Linked DNA regions of Schizosaccharomyces pombe. The main gene of each other region encodes a partner of the protein of the gene in region 3 in a complex. Each region holds a gene or a part of one and is shown on either strand. Other genes may lie near its edges.

The links.
Region 1: int6 (region 3) and sum1 share a complex: the UniProt entries of both Schizosaccharomyces pombe proteins name them as parts of the eukaryotic translation initiation factor 3 (eIF-3) complex.
Region 2: int6 (region 3) and tif301 share a complex: the UniProt entries of both Schizosaccharomyces pombe proteins name them as parts of the eukaryotic translation initiation factor 3 (eIF-3) complex.

The regions. Positions count from the first base shown.
Region 1 is NC_003424.3:5,357,040-5,361,033, forward strand, and holds sum1 (translation initiation factor eIF3i), read left to right. Parts: upstream 1-1,884; 5' UTR 1,885-1,916; coding exon 1,917-1,979; exon of another isoform or gene 1,980-2,034; coding exon 2,035-2,155; exon of another isoform or gene 2,156-2,511; coding exon 2,512-3,314; 3' UTR 3,315-3,465; downstream 3,466-3,994. Other genes in the region: F-box/WD repeat protein Pop2, read left to right, coding at 1-203; rer2 (cis-prenyltransferase), read right to left, coding at 353-463, 519-735, 782-1,041, 1,154-1,360; met8 (siroheme synthase), read right to left, coding at 3,533-3,994. UniProt on the Schizosaccharomyces pombe protein: Component of the eukaryotic translation initiation factor 3 (eIF-3) complex, which is involved in protein synthesis of a specialized repertoire of mRNAs and, together with other initiation factors, stimulates binding of mRNA and methionyl-tRNAi to the 40S ribosome.
Region 2 is NC_003423.3:3,312,386-3,317,981, forward strand, and holds tif301 (translation initiation factor eIF3a), read left to right. Parts: upstream 1-1,945; 5' UTR 1,946-1,952; coding exon 1,953-1,991; intron 1,992-2,036; coding exon 2,037-4,796; 3' UTR 4,797-5,067; downstream 5,068-5,596. Other genes in the region: histone acetyltransferase complex subunit Nto1, read right to left, coding at 1-495; DNA primase large subunit Spp2, read left to right, coding at 5,398-5,563. UniProt on the Schizosaccharomyces pombe protein: RNA-binding component of the eukaryotic translation initiation factor 3 (eIF-3) complex, which is involved in protein synthesis of a specialized repertoire of mRNAs and, together with other initiation factors, stimulates binding of mRNA and methionyl-tRNAi to the 40S ribosome.
Region 3 is NC_003423.3:938,099-941,906, reverse strand, and holds int6 (translation initiation factor), read left to right. Parts: upstream 1-1,598; 5' UTR 1,599-1,645; coding exon 1,646-1,679; intron 1,680-1,735; coding exon 1,736-3,207; 3' UTR 3,208-3,286; downstream 3,287-3,808. Other genes in the region: U3 snoRNP protein Nop56, read left to right, coding at 1-1,082. UniProt on the Schizosaccharomyces pombe protein: Component of the eukaryotic translation initiation factor 3 (eIF-3) complex, which is involved in protein synthesis of a specialized repertoire of mRNAs and, together with other initiation factors, stimulates binding of mRNA and methionyl-tRNAi to the 40S ribosome.

The sequences.
Region 1 (3,994 bases), on a different chromosome or scaffold from region 3:
CAGATGAACACAAAATTATTAGTGGTAATGATGGTTCTGTAAAGTTATGGGATGTTAGGACTGGAAAGCTGTTACGTTTTCTATTAACAGACCTCACAAAAATATGGCATGTCGATTTTGATGCTATGCGTTGTGTGGCTGCAGTGCAGCGTGATGATCAAGCATATTTGGAAGTTATTAATTTTTCCGGATCAAGACCGTAGAAAGTTTCATTTTAACAATATTTAAGAAGACATAATTAGAGTAGTGTCTAACTATTTACATCAGCTACTAACACATATTAAATGTATACAATGTAAAATTAACAGCCAAAGCCTATCAAAAGTAAATAAGTAACGAAGGATTGAATAAATTATGCTGGTTGGTTTTGTAACTGGTATTGAATTAACATTGGGAAAAACTTCCAGATAGAAAAATCCGGCCAGTAGAAATCGATGAATTTTATCTCCGTATTTTTGTGACACTGATAAAATTAGTTGAATATCTTTGACTAGAAAATTAGGAGAATTTTTACTTACCTGCCATAACATAAAATCAGATAGACGCTCCACACCGCTAGTGCGAATCAACAAGTCTAAAGGAAGACTATCTTTTATCAATAGGTTTTTTTCAAATATATCTTCATCTATATCTTCTGGAGTGATTGTACCATCTTCTGCCATTTTTACTATTGATTGCACAGAAGTAGCAATTTCATGTCGAGAAGTGTATGGAAAGCAAACATTTAATGTTGCCCTAAGATGTCAATTAGCAAAATAAAAATTTGAAAAATTTCACATACTTTGTGTTATGTTTTGTAATTTCCACAGCCTTTAGAGCAGTTTCTAAAACGTCAGGTTGCAACCTGCTAAGATCGCCAACAATGCGAATACGGATCCCATACTGATCAACCAAATCACCATGAGCAGTAATTTGCGTTAAGCTGTTTTTTGCAATCTCCATTAACATATCAACTTCATATTTAGATCGCTTAAAATTTTCAATGGAGAATGTGAAAGCCGATACTTCTTTAACTCCTAACTTCAGACACACTTTTAATAGCTTACGCAGGGTTAGTTAATGTACCAAATTGTGCAGAACGTAGACGGATACCAATGCGCAAAACATGGAGAAACGGTACGTTTAACCTTCTATTAATGTTCTTTAAACTTACAGATTTTAAAGCTTCAAAACCTGAGCTATGACCCTCGATAGTTTCCATCCTTCTTTGACGAGCCCACCGTCGATTGCCATCCATTACAAAGGCTATGTGTTGTGGTACTTTGCCACGTTTAATTGTATTTATCATCATCGTTTCTAATTGATCAAGTGTCCATTGTAATGGAGGACAGTGAATAAACCAGCCTGATAAATTACCCATATTGTCAAGATATTTTGTCAATTCTTTTCTTTTCCTTTATAAATGCACGCTAAATATCAAAGAGAAATAATTATCTTGATAAACAATTATTTTCAAAAAACGATTAGATGTTTTTGACGCTTCTATAAAACACTCAGGTTATCCGGTTCTAGATATGTTTTATAAGTATAATTACCAAGCACGCTAGAAAAGGATTTTTAGCTAAGGAAATATACTTTCAATCGTAAACGAATGGAACAAAGAGACGCTAGTTTAAGACCAAACGCTTTTGTATTTTTTTTTAAAAATCACGAAAGAAATATTATTTTTTGTACAAATAAGTAAGACAGACAAAATTCAAACAAAACCACAAAATACTGTTTTCAAAGTGAGACGTGCGACCTTTGGGTCTAACTAGTCTAACGCAAGTGTCTCAGAAATGAAGCCAGTTCATTTAAGAGTGTCGTTAAGCCTCCTTATTTTTAATACCATCCTTAAGTTACGCTAATTAGAATCAAAATATTACAACTAAAGACTTTTCGCTCAAACCCTCTACCAGCACTTTCCTGTTCAAAAGATGAGGCCTATCATTTTACAGGGTCATGAGCGTCCTTTGACTCAAATAAAATATAATCACGATGTAGGTTTAATAACCGTCCATTATATGTGGAAAATTTACTAATTTTTGTGTGTAGGGTGATTTATTATTCTCATGTGCCAAGGATAAAGTGATTAATGTCTGGTTTTCACACAATGGTGAACGCCTAGGTACATATGAGGGTCATACTGGTGCAATTTGGACTTGTGATATTAATAGTACGTGAAAATTGGTGGTGATGTATGTTGGATTAAGACATCTAAAGGTATACGGATTATGGAAGTATAAGGAAACACGAATAATGAAACATATCATGACTCTAATAAATGTATTTTTTTTATTAGTCGTCCGATTGCAGATGGTTATACTCGTGATCCACGATTCTGAGTTGGCGTAGTACTTAAAGTTAAATATGCATGGTGCATCTCCTTTACTTATATTAATGCTACGTTTACCTCACTTCACTTCCTCGTGGAAAGCATTTAAACTTCTTTTAAATCCTTTTCCTTCTTCTTGATGCCTCAAATCCAACTAGATCATCTGTTCCTTTTCCAATGGTTACTAACTGAAACAGAAAGTAGCACTTTAATGGTTAGTGGAGCCGCTGACAATACCATGCGTCTTTGGGATGTTAAAACAGGAAAGCAGTTGTACAAGTGGGAATTTCCTACTGCTGTCAAACGTGTTGAGTTCAACGAAGATGATACCCGTATTCTTGCTGTTACCGAGGAACGTATGGGTTATGCTGGTACCGTCACTGTTTTCCGTGTTCCTATTTCGGAAAGCGATGCCGCTGCTGAAACCCCCCTTTACGTTATTACTACTCGTGAATCTAAAGCAACGGTCGCTGGATGGTCTTACTTGAGCAAGTTTCTCTTTACTGGTCATGAAGATGGCTCCGTTTCCAGATACGATGCTATAACCGGAGAATTCGTTGAATCTAAACAAGTTCATAATTCTGGTTCTACTATTACTGATCTTCAGTTTTATCCTGATCGTACTTACTTCATCACTTCTTGCAAGGATACGACTGCTAAAGCTATTGATGTTGATTCTTTTGAAGTCATCAAAACATACCTTACTGATACGCCTCTTAATACTTCTAGTTTTACTCCTGTCCAAGACTTCGTTATTTTAGGAGGTGGTCAAGAAGCCCGTGATGTTACTACTACTGCTGCTAGACAGGGTAAATTTGAAGCACGTTTTTATCATGCGATTTTAGAAGAAGAGTTAGGCCGCGTTAAGGGTCATTTCGGTCCTATCAACACAATAGCTGTCCATCCCAAAGGAACCGGTTATGCTAGTGGTGGAGAAGATGGTTATGTTCGGGTGCACTTCTTCGATAAAAACTACTTTGACTTCAAGTATACATTGTAGGTTAATTTTATTCAAAAAACTGTTGATAGTATAGTAATGGACAACGGAACTTTTTTCCAAAGATGTATCATTTTCGTTTAGGGAGCATTATATGAAAAATAACCTTCTATGAGTACAAGAGTTTTTTAATAAATTCCATTCAAAATTCAAATGTTTTAAAGTGAAAAGTAATGTAATTGTCATATTCCGTAAAGCAACTAACTTATCAAACGCTTCTTTTAACGAGCTTTTGAAACATGTTTGAGGAGAACAGCCCCAGAAATTATAATTGCTCCAAACCATATGTAGTTGTCTATCTTGCTGTAGGCTGGAGTCGTTATTTCTCGATAACTAGGTGTTTTTTTTGGGAAGTATCCCAAAAGTCGGTTGATGAGATTTTCGTCGAGCATGGCAAGTTCCTCCAAAGACCACAGTTCGCAAATCTCAATCATCCATCTCATTCTTTTGCGACTGTTTTCAGGTTCGGGAACAATGTCTCGTAATTTTTGTCGTAAAAGGCCAGTTTTTTCCAATGCCATACCAGTAGCTGGATTGATTGAACTTTCGATTTTTTTTCGTATTAAACTGGCAAGTTTTGGACCTTTACCATTGGTGCTAACCATAATTTGTAGAGGGCCGTTACGGATTTCAGACCCAAAGTAGAAATCACATTCAGGTGGAATATCCGCCGCATTGACCGG
Region 2 (5,596 bases), 2.4 Mb from region 3:
TATTTCTAAAAATTCTTTAGAAACATTTTCCCACTCTGAATTAGATGAAAGTTGAAACTCATTATAATATGTTAACCACATTGTGTCTAACTCATCCAAGTCGTAGGATACAGGAAAGGACGTTTTTGAGTAAGGATGTATAGCAACGAACTTGAAATATTCGTCTGGACTCCAATCTAATTGTTTCGCAGTTTTATATCCAAATTTTTTCTCTTGTGGATTAATATTTTCCGTTTGAACACCTACTGGCTTTACGTTTTCGATCTTGGCATTGAGCAAAGCTTTAAGCACATAAGAATTCTCGGATTTATAGGTTACTAAAGAATCACGAAGGCCTGCATATTGTGTATGGTCACCTTCTAATATTTCCAAAGGTTCGTCTATTTGTAGGTCTGGATGGAAAGATTTATAGGGAATCTCTTCTCTCGGCTGAAAAGCAAGTTCATCGGGTCTTAGAATATTTCGACCAGTAGAAGTAAGTCGGAAGGTTTGCATGAAAGCCTTTTACAAGATAGATTTACCATACTATCTTTTTTACATTTCTTTCATGGTGTAACTATATTTACGAGAAAAAGGTGCAATTTTGCTTAAACTTCAATAGTGCATTCTGCCGCTGATGATTAAGCAGAATAAGCGGGGGTAACGTGAATGACCGAAATAAAAAGATGATTGTAAACAGTTGAACTCTGAAATGAAAATAGTTTGGACATAGGAAGGGGTAAATTTATTCTTCCCGTTCTTTCTCTTTTTATATTTATTGGTGTTGTTTTCAAAGAAAACCAGAGGAAATTGGAAAGCGTGATTTTGCATTTTACGGAAATGTAAGAGTTACAATTATATACAGTTGATGTGAAAGTACAAAGATTTTCGAGATGCTTGATAAAAAGCCCTTTCAAGAATCTTTGTGAATAGTTTATAAGCTAATATTTTTGTACCCGCCATCAACGAATACTTCACTTAGTTTATTCTTCTAGAAGTCTAACATTTACACCAATCACAATTAAATTGCTTCATCAAAATGGGCCTCTAGAGTTTACCTAGCGTCGAAGAGATTGAGGACTTAGCGTTTTTTAACAAAAAAATCTTTCGGAATACATAGGGTTATGACCTCTTTATTATAATACTTTGACAAACTATATTCGCTAAATCTTTCTTCCTTTATTCAAGCTTTGAGTAAAAGTAATGCGAGTTTCTGCTACTTTTCAAGGATAACACTTTAAATTTTAGATTGGCTCGGAAAATATTTCGCTCAAACCACACTTCTTTCACTGGTAAGGTCTCAACGTTTATATAAGTTTGTTGCCAATTGTAAATAAGAGTTTAGACAATGCTACAAGTATAAAACAATGCATAAGCCCTGATGAGGAACTCAAGCGAGTATCGACTCAACGGCAATAAAGATTATTTTAAGAACTAACTAGTTTTATCACCAAATACATCAAACAAAGAATGGACTTGGTGATTAGCGTAGAAACAGATCTACGGCTAAAATTCCAAAACTATAACGGTACTAATATTTCTTGGATGTACATTGTGTAACGATAGTAATTAGTAGCGGCAACAGAAAAATCTGACTACTATCCCATAAACGTTCAAATAAAAGCAAAAATAGAGCTTTCCTCTGTTCTAAACTGAACTGGTATTTTTTAAACAAACATGATAGATTAACGAGTATGTTAGCACTTCACACTAGGCGATCTATTCAAATTTAGTCATATTATCGTATTCGGTAAACCACTAATTTCTTTGCACAAAAAGTGATGCTTATTCAAGTCAAACCTAAGAAAGATATGAACAACTAACTATATATATATGCATGTGCTAACATTTTTTTTTGCAAAATCAAGAATTAAGTACCTCTTGTTTAGTGGCTTATATAAAACTGCGAGGTAGCTCGCTATTCGTGTAATAAAATTTTACTACGACAAGGGGGAAGTTTTCAACTGCACAACATGGCACCTCCTCAAGGAAAGCCCGAAAATGTGCTAAGGGTATGTATTATGAGTTTTTTACTTACTTTGACTAACATAAATTAGCTTGCCGATGAGCTGATAGCTCTAGATCAGCACAGCTCAGCACTGCAATCTCTTCATGAGACTATAGTTTTGAAAAGATCAAGAAACGCGCAGGGGTTTTCTCTCGAGCCTATTATGATGCGTTTCATCGAACTTTGTGTTCATTTACGCAAAGGAAAAATTGCAAAGGAAGGCTTGTACACCTACAAGAACGCAGTTCAAAACACCTCAGTTACCGCTATTGAGAATGTAGTCAAGCATTTTATTGAACTTGCTAATAAAAGAGTTCAAGAAGCTCAGGAGAAGGCAGACAAGATATCAGTTGAATATGTTGACGATCTTGAGGCTACTGAAACTCCCGAGAGCATCATGATGTCTTTGGTTTCGGGAGACCTTTCCAAGAGCCGCACAGACCGTGCTTTGGTCACTCCATGGTTGAAATTTTTGTGGGATGCTTATCGTACAGTTCTTGATATTTTGCGTAATAATGCTCGTTTAGAAGTAATGTATCAGTTAATTGCTAACTCTGCATTCCAATTTTGCCTCAAGTATCAGCGTAAAACCGAATTTCGCCGTCTATGTGAACTCCTTCGGTCCCATCTTGGCAATGCTTCTAAATTTTCAAACGCTCCACACTCTATTAACTTGAATGATGCTGAAACTATGCAGCGTCATCTGGACATGCGTTTCTCTCAGCTAAACGTTGCTGTTGAGCTTGAACTCTGGCAGGAAGCTTTCCGATCCATTGAAGACATTCACAGCTTGCTTACGTTCTCTAAGAGGGCTCCTGCTGCAGTCATGCTTGGCAATTATTACCGTAAATTGATTAAAATCTTTTTGGTTTGTGATAATTATTTGCTTCATGCTGCAGCTTGGAATAGGTACTTCACATTTACAAATGTGCAAAAACCCGCTACTGCTAATTTTGTAATTTTAAGCGCTCTCTCTATCCCTATTATTGATGCCAACAAATTATCGGGCCCTTCCATTGAGGCAGAAGATGCCAAGAGCAAGAATGCTCGTTTGGCTCTTTTGTTAAACTTATCGAAAACACCTACGCGTGAAACATTAATTAAGGATGCCATTTCTCGTGGCGTTCTTTCTTTCTGTGATCAGGCTATCCGTGATTTGTACCAGATTTTGGAAGTTGAGTTTCATCCATTGAGCATTTGCAAAAAACTTCAGCCTATCATCAAAAGATTGGCAGAAAGTAATGATACTGCTCAATACATTCGTCCTTTACAACAGGTTATTCTTACTCGTCTTTTCCAACAACTGTCTCAAGTTTATGATTCCATTTCATTGAAATATGTTATGGACCTTGCTACATTCGAGGAGCCTTACGATTTTAACCCTGGTCAAATTGAGAAATTCATTATGAATGGTAACAAGAAAGGTGCATTTTCTATTCGTTTGAACCATATTGAAAATTCCATTAGCTTTTCTTCTGACTTGTTTTCTAATCCCATTAAGTCTTCGGATTCTGTTTCTCTTCAATCTACTCCATCTGAATTAATTACATCTCAACTTACGCGGATTGCCAAATCCCTTTCTAGTGTTTTGATGCGTTTTGATACCGATTTCTGCCTTTTACGCAAGCAACAAGCCGAGGCTGCCTACGAAAGGGCTCAGGCTGGTGTTGAACAGGAGCGTAAAGCGGTCATTGCTCAGCGTAGTCTTCTCGAATTACGTCGTGGACAGGCTGATACACTTGCTACTCAACGTGAAGCTGAGCTTGCTGCTCAACGCGCTCTCAAACAAAAGCAAGAATCTGAAGCCGAGTCTCTCCGCGTTCAAGAAGAAATTAATAAACGTAATGCTGAAAGGATTCGTCGTGAGAAGGAAGCTATTCGCATTAACGAAGCTAAAAAGTTGGCCGAGGAGCTCAAAGCTAAGGGTGGATTGGAAGTCAATGCCGAAGACTTGGAGCATTTGGATGCTGATAAATTGAGAGCTATGCAAATCGAACAAGTCGAAAAGCAAAATAAGAGTATGAACGAACGTTTGCGTGTTATTGGAAAGCGTATCGACCATTTGGAACGTGCTTATCGTCGTGAAGCTATCCCATTGTGGGAAGAAGACGCAAAACAACAAGCCGAACATGACCGCGAAATCTTTTACGAGAGGGAGAAACAACGCAAGGAAGTACAAGAGCGTAAGCATGAACAAGCCATTAAAGACAAAAAGGCTTTTGCTCAATTTGCTTCCTATATTCATGCCTATAAGCAAAATATTGACGATGAACGTGATAAAGCATATCAGGAGGCATACGCCAAAGCTAAAAATGTCATTGATGCAGAGCGCGAAAGGCAACGTAAAGAAATTTTCGAACAAAAATTGGCTGAGGCTATTCGCGAAGCTGAAGAGGAGGCTGCTCGTGCTGCTGAGGAAGAGGCAAACCGTGAGCTTCATGAGCAAGAAGAAGCTCAAAAACGTGCTATCGAGGAAAGAACTCGTGCAGCTAGAGAAGCTAAAGAACGCGAACAGCGCGAAATGGCTGAGAAATTGGAACGCCAAAGACGTATTCAGCAAGAGCGTGATGAAGAAATATCTCGTAAGCTTGCCGAGAAAGCAGCTGCTAGAAGAGCAAATATTGGCGCATCTTCACCTAGTCCTGGTGCTTGGAGGCGCGGCGGTGCTAGTGCTGGCGGTGTTTCACGAGACTCTCCAAGGTATTCTCGTGGTGGCTACTCTCGTGGTTCTGTTCCTCCTCGTGAGACCCTTGCTCCTTCTAAGGGAGCATATGTTCCACCAAGCAGACGTAATCAACAACAACAGTAGTAAACCTACTGTCTATAAGAAAATAAACCTGTCGACAATTAATTATTGTCGCAATTGGATATTGGAGTCAAGTCTTTACGATGCATTATCTAATGTCACAGCTGATAAATTTAAATGAACTAATGTGTTCTCCTATTGAAAGTTGTAAGTTCCTTTTTCTTACAAGGGTAGTTGGTTACTTTCATGCTATTGGAATTCATGAAAGCGGTTATGTGTATAAAAAGAGCCTTTTGTAGCTCTATTTAATAGATAATTATCGTTAACCTTTGAACTTTTTTTAATTTGTATAATACTGCTTAAAGCTTGACTTGTTAATTGTAAATGTAGAACGATACTAATCGAATAAAGATGTTACATGTCAAGTTTATAAGCGACGATGAGTTTTTACAGTTGACGTTTCTGTAGTATGCATTTCTCATTTCAATAATTCTGAATACAACGAGTGAAGAAATAATTCATTAATTATTAGCAACGTGTTTTGTATTAGTACCAAAAAGGTTAAGCAGCTTAAAATATTTGTTTAAAGACACTCAAAGTAAAAAGGTTTCTTGGTGAGAGGCACGACAATTTGTTACCGCAAATAGACTCTTCGCTAACCACCATGTTCAGAACGACCAAAAGTCGAGTAGTTGAAAAGAATCAAAATTTTTCTAGTGCTAGTTTTGAGAGTTTAAGTTATCCTACGCGACTTAATTTTTATAAGAAACCTCCTGTCTCTGAAATAAGCATTGAAGAGTTTGAAACATGGGCAATAGACCGATTAGTTGGTATGCTTTCCATTTTCTTTATTATTTTCTATT
Region 3 (3,808 bases):
TATCACCCGGTGATTTCGAAAGGGCTCAGCTTGGTTTAGGACATTCATACTCTCGCGCAAAAGTGAAGTTCAATGTTAACAGAAATGACAACATGATTATCCAAGCTATTGCTATCCTTGATCAACTTGACAAGGACATTAATACTTTCGCTATGCGCATGAAAGAGTGGTATTCTTGGCATTTCCCTGAGCTTTCGAAGATCGTTGGAGACAATTACAAATACGCTGTTATTGTTACACTGGTTGGTGATAAAACCACCATTAACGACGAAATGCTTCATGATCTGGCAGCCGTTGTAGACGATGACAAAGATATTGCTCAAAGTATAATCAACGCTGGTAAAGTGTCTATGGGACAAGATATCTCTGAAATTGACCTCGAGAATATTCTATCTTTTGCTGAACGTGTTATTAAACTTAGTAATTATCGTAAACAGCTACATAACTATTTGGTTCAGAAGATGAATGTTGTTGCTCCCAATCTTGCTGAATTAATTGGTGAGATGGTTGGTGCTCGTTTGATTTCTCATGCCGGAAGTCTAACTAACTTGTCAAAATGCCCGGCTTCTACGGTACAGATTCTAGGTGCTGAAAAGGCTTTGTTCCGTGCTCTGAAAACCCGTGGAAACACGCCTAAATACGGTATTATTTACCATTCTAGTTTTATTGGAAAAGCTGGCGCTAAAAACAAAGGCCGCATCTCTCGTTTCTTGGCTAACAAATGTTCTATTGCTAGCCGTATTGATAACTTTAGCGATGCCCCAACTACGGCATTTGGTCAAGTTCTTCGTCGACAAGTCGAGGAACGTCTCAACTTTTTCGATACCGGTGTCGCCCCTACTCGCAATAGTATTGCAATGGCAGAAGCTTATGAAAAGGCATTATCGAGTGTTAACATAGACGGAGACGAGGAGGTTGACATTGACGTTGAAGAGACTGTTGAAACCATTTCAGAAAAGCCGAGCAAGAAAGAAAAGAAAGACAAGAAGGAGAAGAAAAAGGAGAAGTCTAAGAAAAAGCGTTCTGCCGATGATGCATCAGAAGAAGTCAAGAAAAGTAAGAAGAAAAAGAAGAGCCATTGAGACGTTATTTTTATTAGGATATAACGGGGACCATATTGCTCTTGCATATTTAGAACAACTTGTAATTGAAAAATTTGCTATAGATTATGGGCGTAAATACTGTAATATTACTAAATCGATTGATATCGAGCTTATCATTTTGATGGATGGACGTGTAAAACTTATCTCTTAGTAAGCATTTACATTTTATTAAGTAGCATTTATGTATTATTCGTATAAGAAGTGCTATTTATATCGAAAGTTAAAAAAATATTAGAAACCAGTATTTGACAATAATTACAATTTAAGTAAAGATCAAGAATCGGATAAAAATTTGTCTTACACATTGATTTACATTAGCTGGTAGTAAGTTCGAGCTTAATTAGTTTTATGAAAAACTATTGGTTAAAAAAAGCAAAAATATCATTAAGGAATTTAATATTTTTTGTACGAACATTGCTGACCTACTATTGTCATATTGCTTTTCAGTACTGTAGTCTAAGGGGGCTACTACTAGAGTTTTGGGTGAGTTGTGCTATCCTCCCCACACCACGCACTTTTTTTTTGCGTGAAACATATCAGATATGGGATCCGAGCTTAAGAGTACAAGCCCTTTAGGTAAGCTAATTTAGATTTATTTTTAAATACAGGAGAATGTTTTCTAACCTTTATAGCGGTCAAGTATGATTTGTCGCAAAAAATTATGCAACACCTTGACCGCCATCTCATTTTTCCTCTATTGGAATTTTTATCTTTAAGACAGACTCATGATCCAAAGGAGCTTTTACAAGCTAAGTATGATTTGCTTAAAGATACCAATATGACTGATTATGTGGCCAACTTGTGGACTAATCTTCATGGGGGTCATACCGACGAGGACATGGCAAATGCTTTTGCTGAAAAGCGACGCAGTGTTTTGCAAGAGCTCTCTGAACTTGAAGAAGAGGTTCAAGGAATTTTAGGTGTCTTAGAAAATCCTGACTTGATTGCAGCTCTTCGTCAAGATAAAGGTCAAAATTTACAACACCTACAAGAACATTACAACATTACCCCTGAACGTATAGCTGTTCTTTACAAGTTTGCTCAATTTCAATATAATTGTGGAAACTACGGTGGTGCATCAGATTTACTTTATCATTTTCGTGCCTTCAGTAAAGACCCTGAATTAAACGCCTCCGCGACCTGGGGTAAATTTGCTTCTGAAATTTTGACTGTTGATTGGGATGGGGCTATGGAGGAATTGGGAAAACTTCGCGAAATGGTGGACTCCAAAAGCTTTAAAGATTCTGCTGTTCAATTGAGAAATCGAACTTGGCTCCTCCACTGGTCCTTGTTTCCTTTGTTTAATCATGCAAATGGTTGTGATACTCTTTGTGATTTGTTCTTCTATACTCCTTATCTCAACACCATCCAAACCTCTTGTCCCTGGCTATTAAGATATTTGACTGTCGCTGTTGTTACTAACCAAAATAATGCAAATCAAAAACCTCGTAACCCTAGGCAATCTTATCAAAGAAGGATGCGAGATCTCGTACGCATCATTAGCCAAGAAAACTATGAATACAGCGATCCTGTGACCTCTTTTATTTCTGCTTTGTATACTGAGGTCGACTTTGAAAAAGCTCAGCATTGCCTCAGAGAATGTGAAGAGGTTTTGAAAACCGACTTTTTTCTCGTATCTTTGTGCGATCACTTTTTGGAAGGTGCTCGCAAATTACTTGCTGAGGCATATTGCCGTATTCACAGTGTCATAAGTGTTGATGTGCTTGCTAACAAGCTGGAAATGGACAGTGCTCAATTAATACAACTTGTTGAAAACCGTAATAATCCTTCAGTTGCCGCAGCTTCTAATGTAGCTGCCGATCAAAGTACTGAAGATGAAAGTATTGAATCTACCTCTACAAATGTTGTTGCTGATGATTTAATCACGGAAGCCGAAACTGCTACTGAAGCCGAAGAGCCCGAACCCGAGGTACAATTTGGGTTTAAAGCTAAGTTGGACGGTGAATCAATAATAATTGAACACCCTACTTATTCAGCTTTCCAACAGATTATAGACCGTACAAAGTCATTAAGTTTTGAAAGTCAAAACTTGGAGCAATCTCTTGCTAAAAGCATTTCGGAGTTAAAGCATGCTACTGTTTAGACAAGATTAGCAAATAGTTTAAAGGTGGAATATATTTCATACATTAAAAATAAAACATAGGAGTTTAATTAATTCGCTAATTTTGTATTTTCAAACAACTCGTTATTGTAGAAGATGACTGTGTACTTTCCTATTTAAAGAAACGTGCTCATTGAATATCGCTATTAGTATATTAATTTTGGAAATTTGAAACATGCGGGGATATTAAAAAAATATATATTATCTAAAATTTTTTTATTTTCTGAAGTGCATAAAAAATAAATAATTAATGCAAAAGTATTAATGCCGCTATCTCAACATGTAGAAAATGTGTCGGTGGAATTAACTTATGTATATATTAAATTGCTGTAATAATACTAATCCAATTGCATTAAATTAAATTTCCCTAATTGATAGATAAATAAACGATGCTGCAACGGTATTACCGTAATTTAATCGAAAGACTCGCTACAACTAATATGTAAGTTTGGTGTTTAAATTTCATATCAAACCAGTACACCACGAAAGCTTGAGACAGCATCCGTTTCCGTGCCACCAACATTTATCAACGCAAAGATATCTCTTGAAAAGAATAGATTTTTGGTCAGTAGTAGGACCAGGA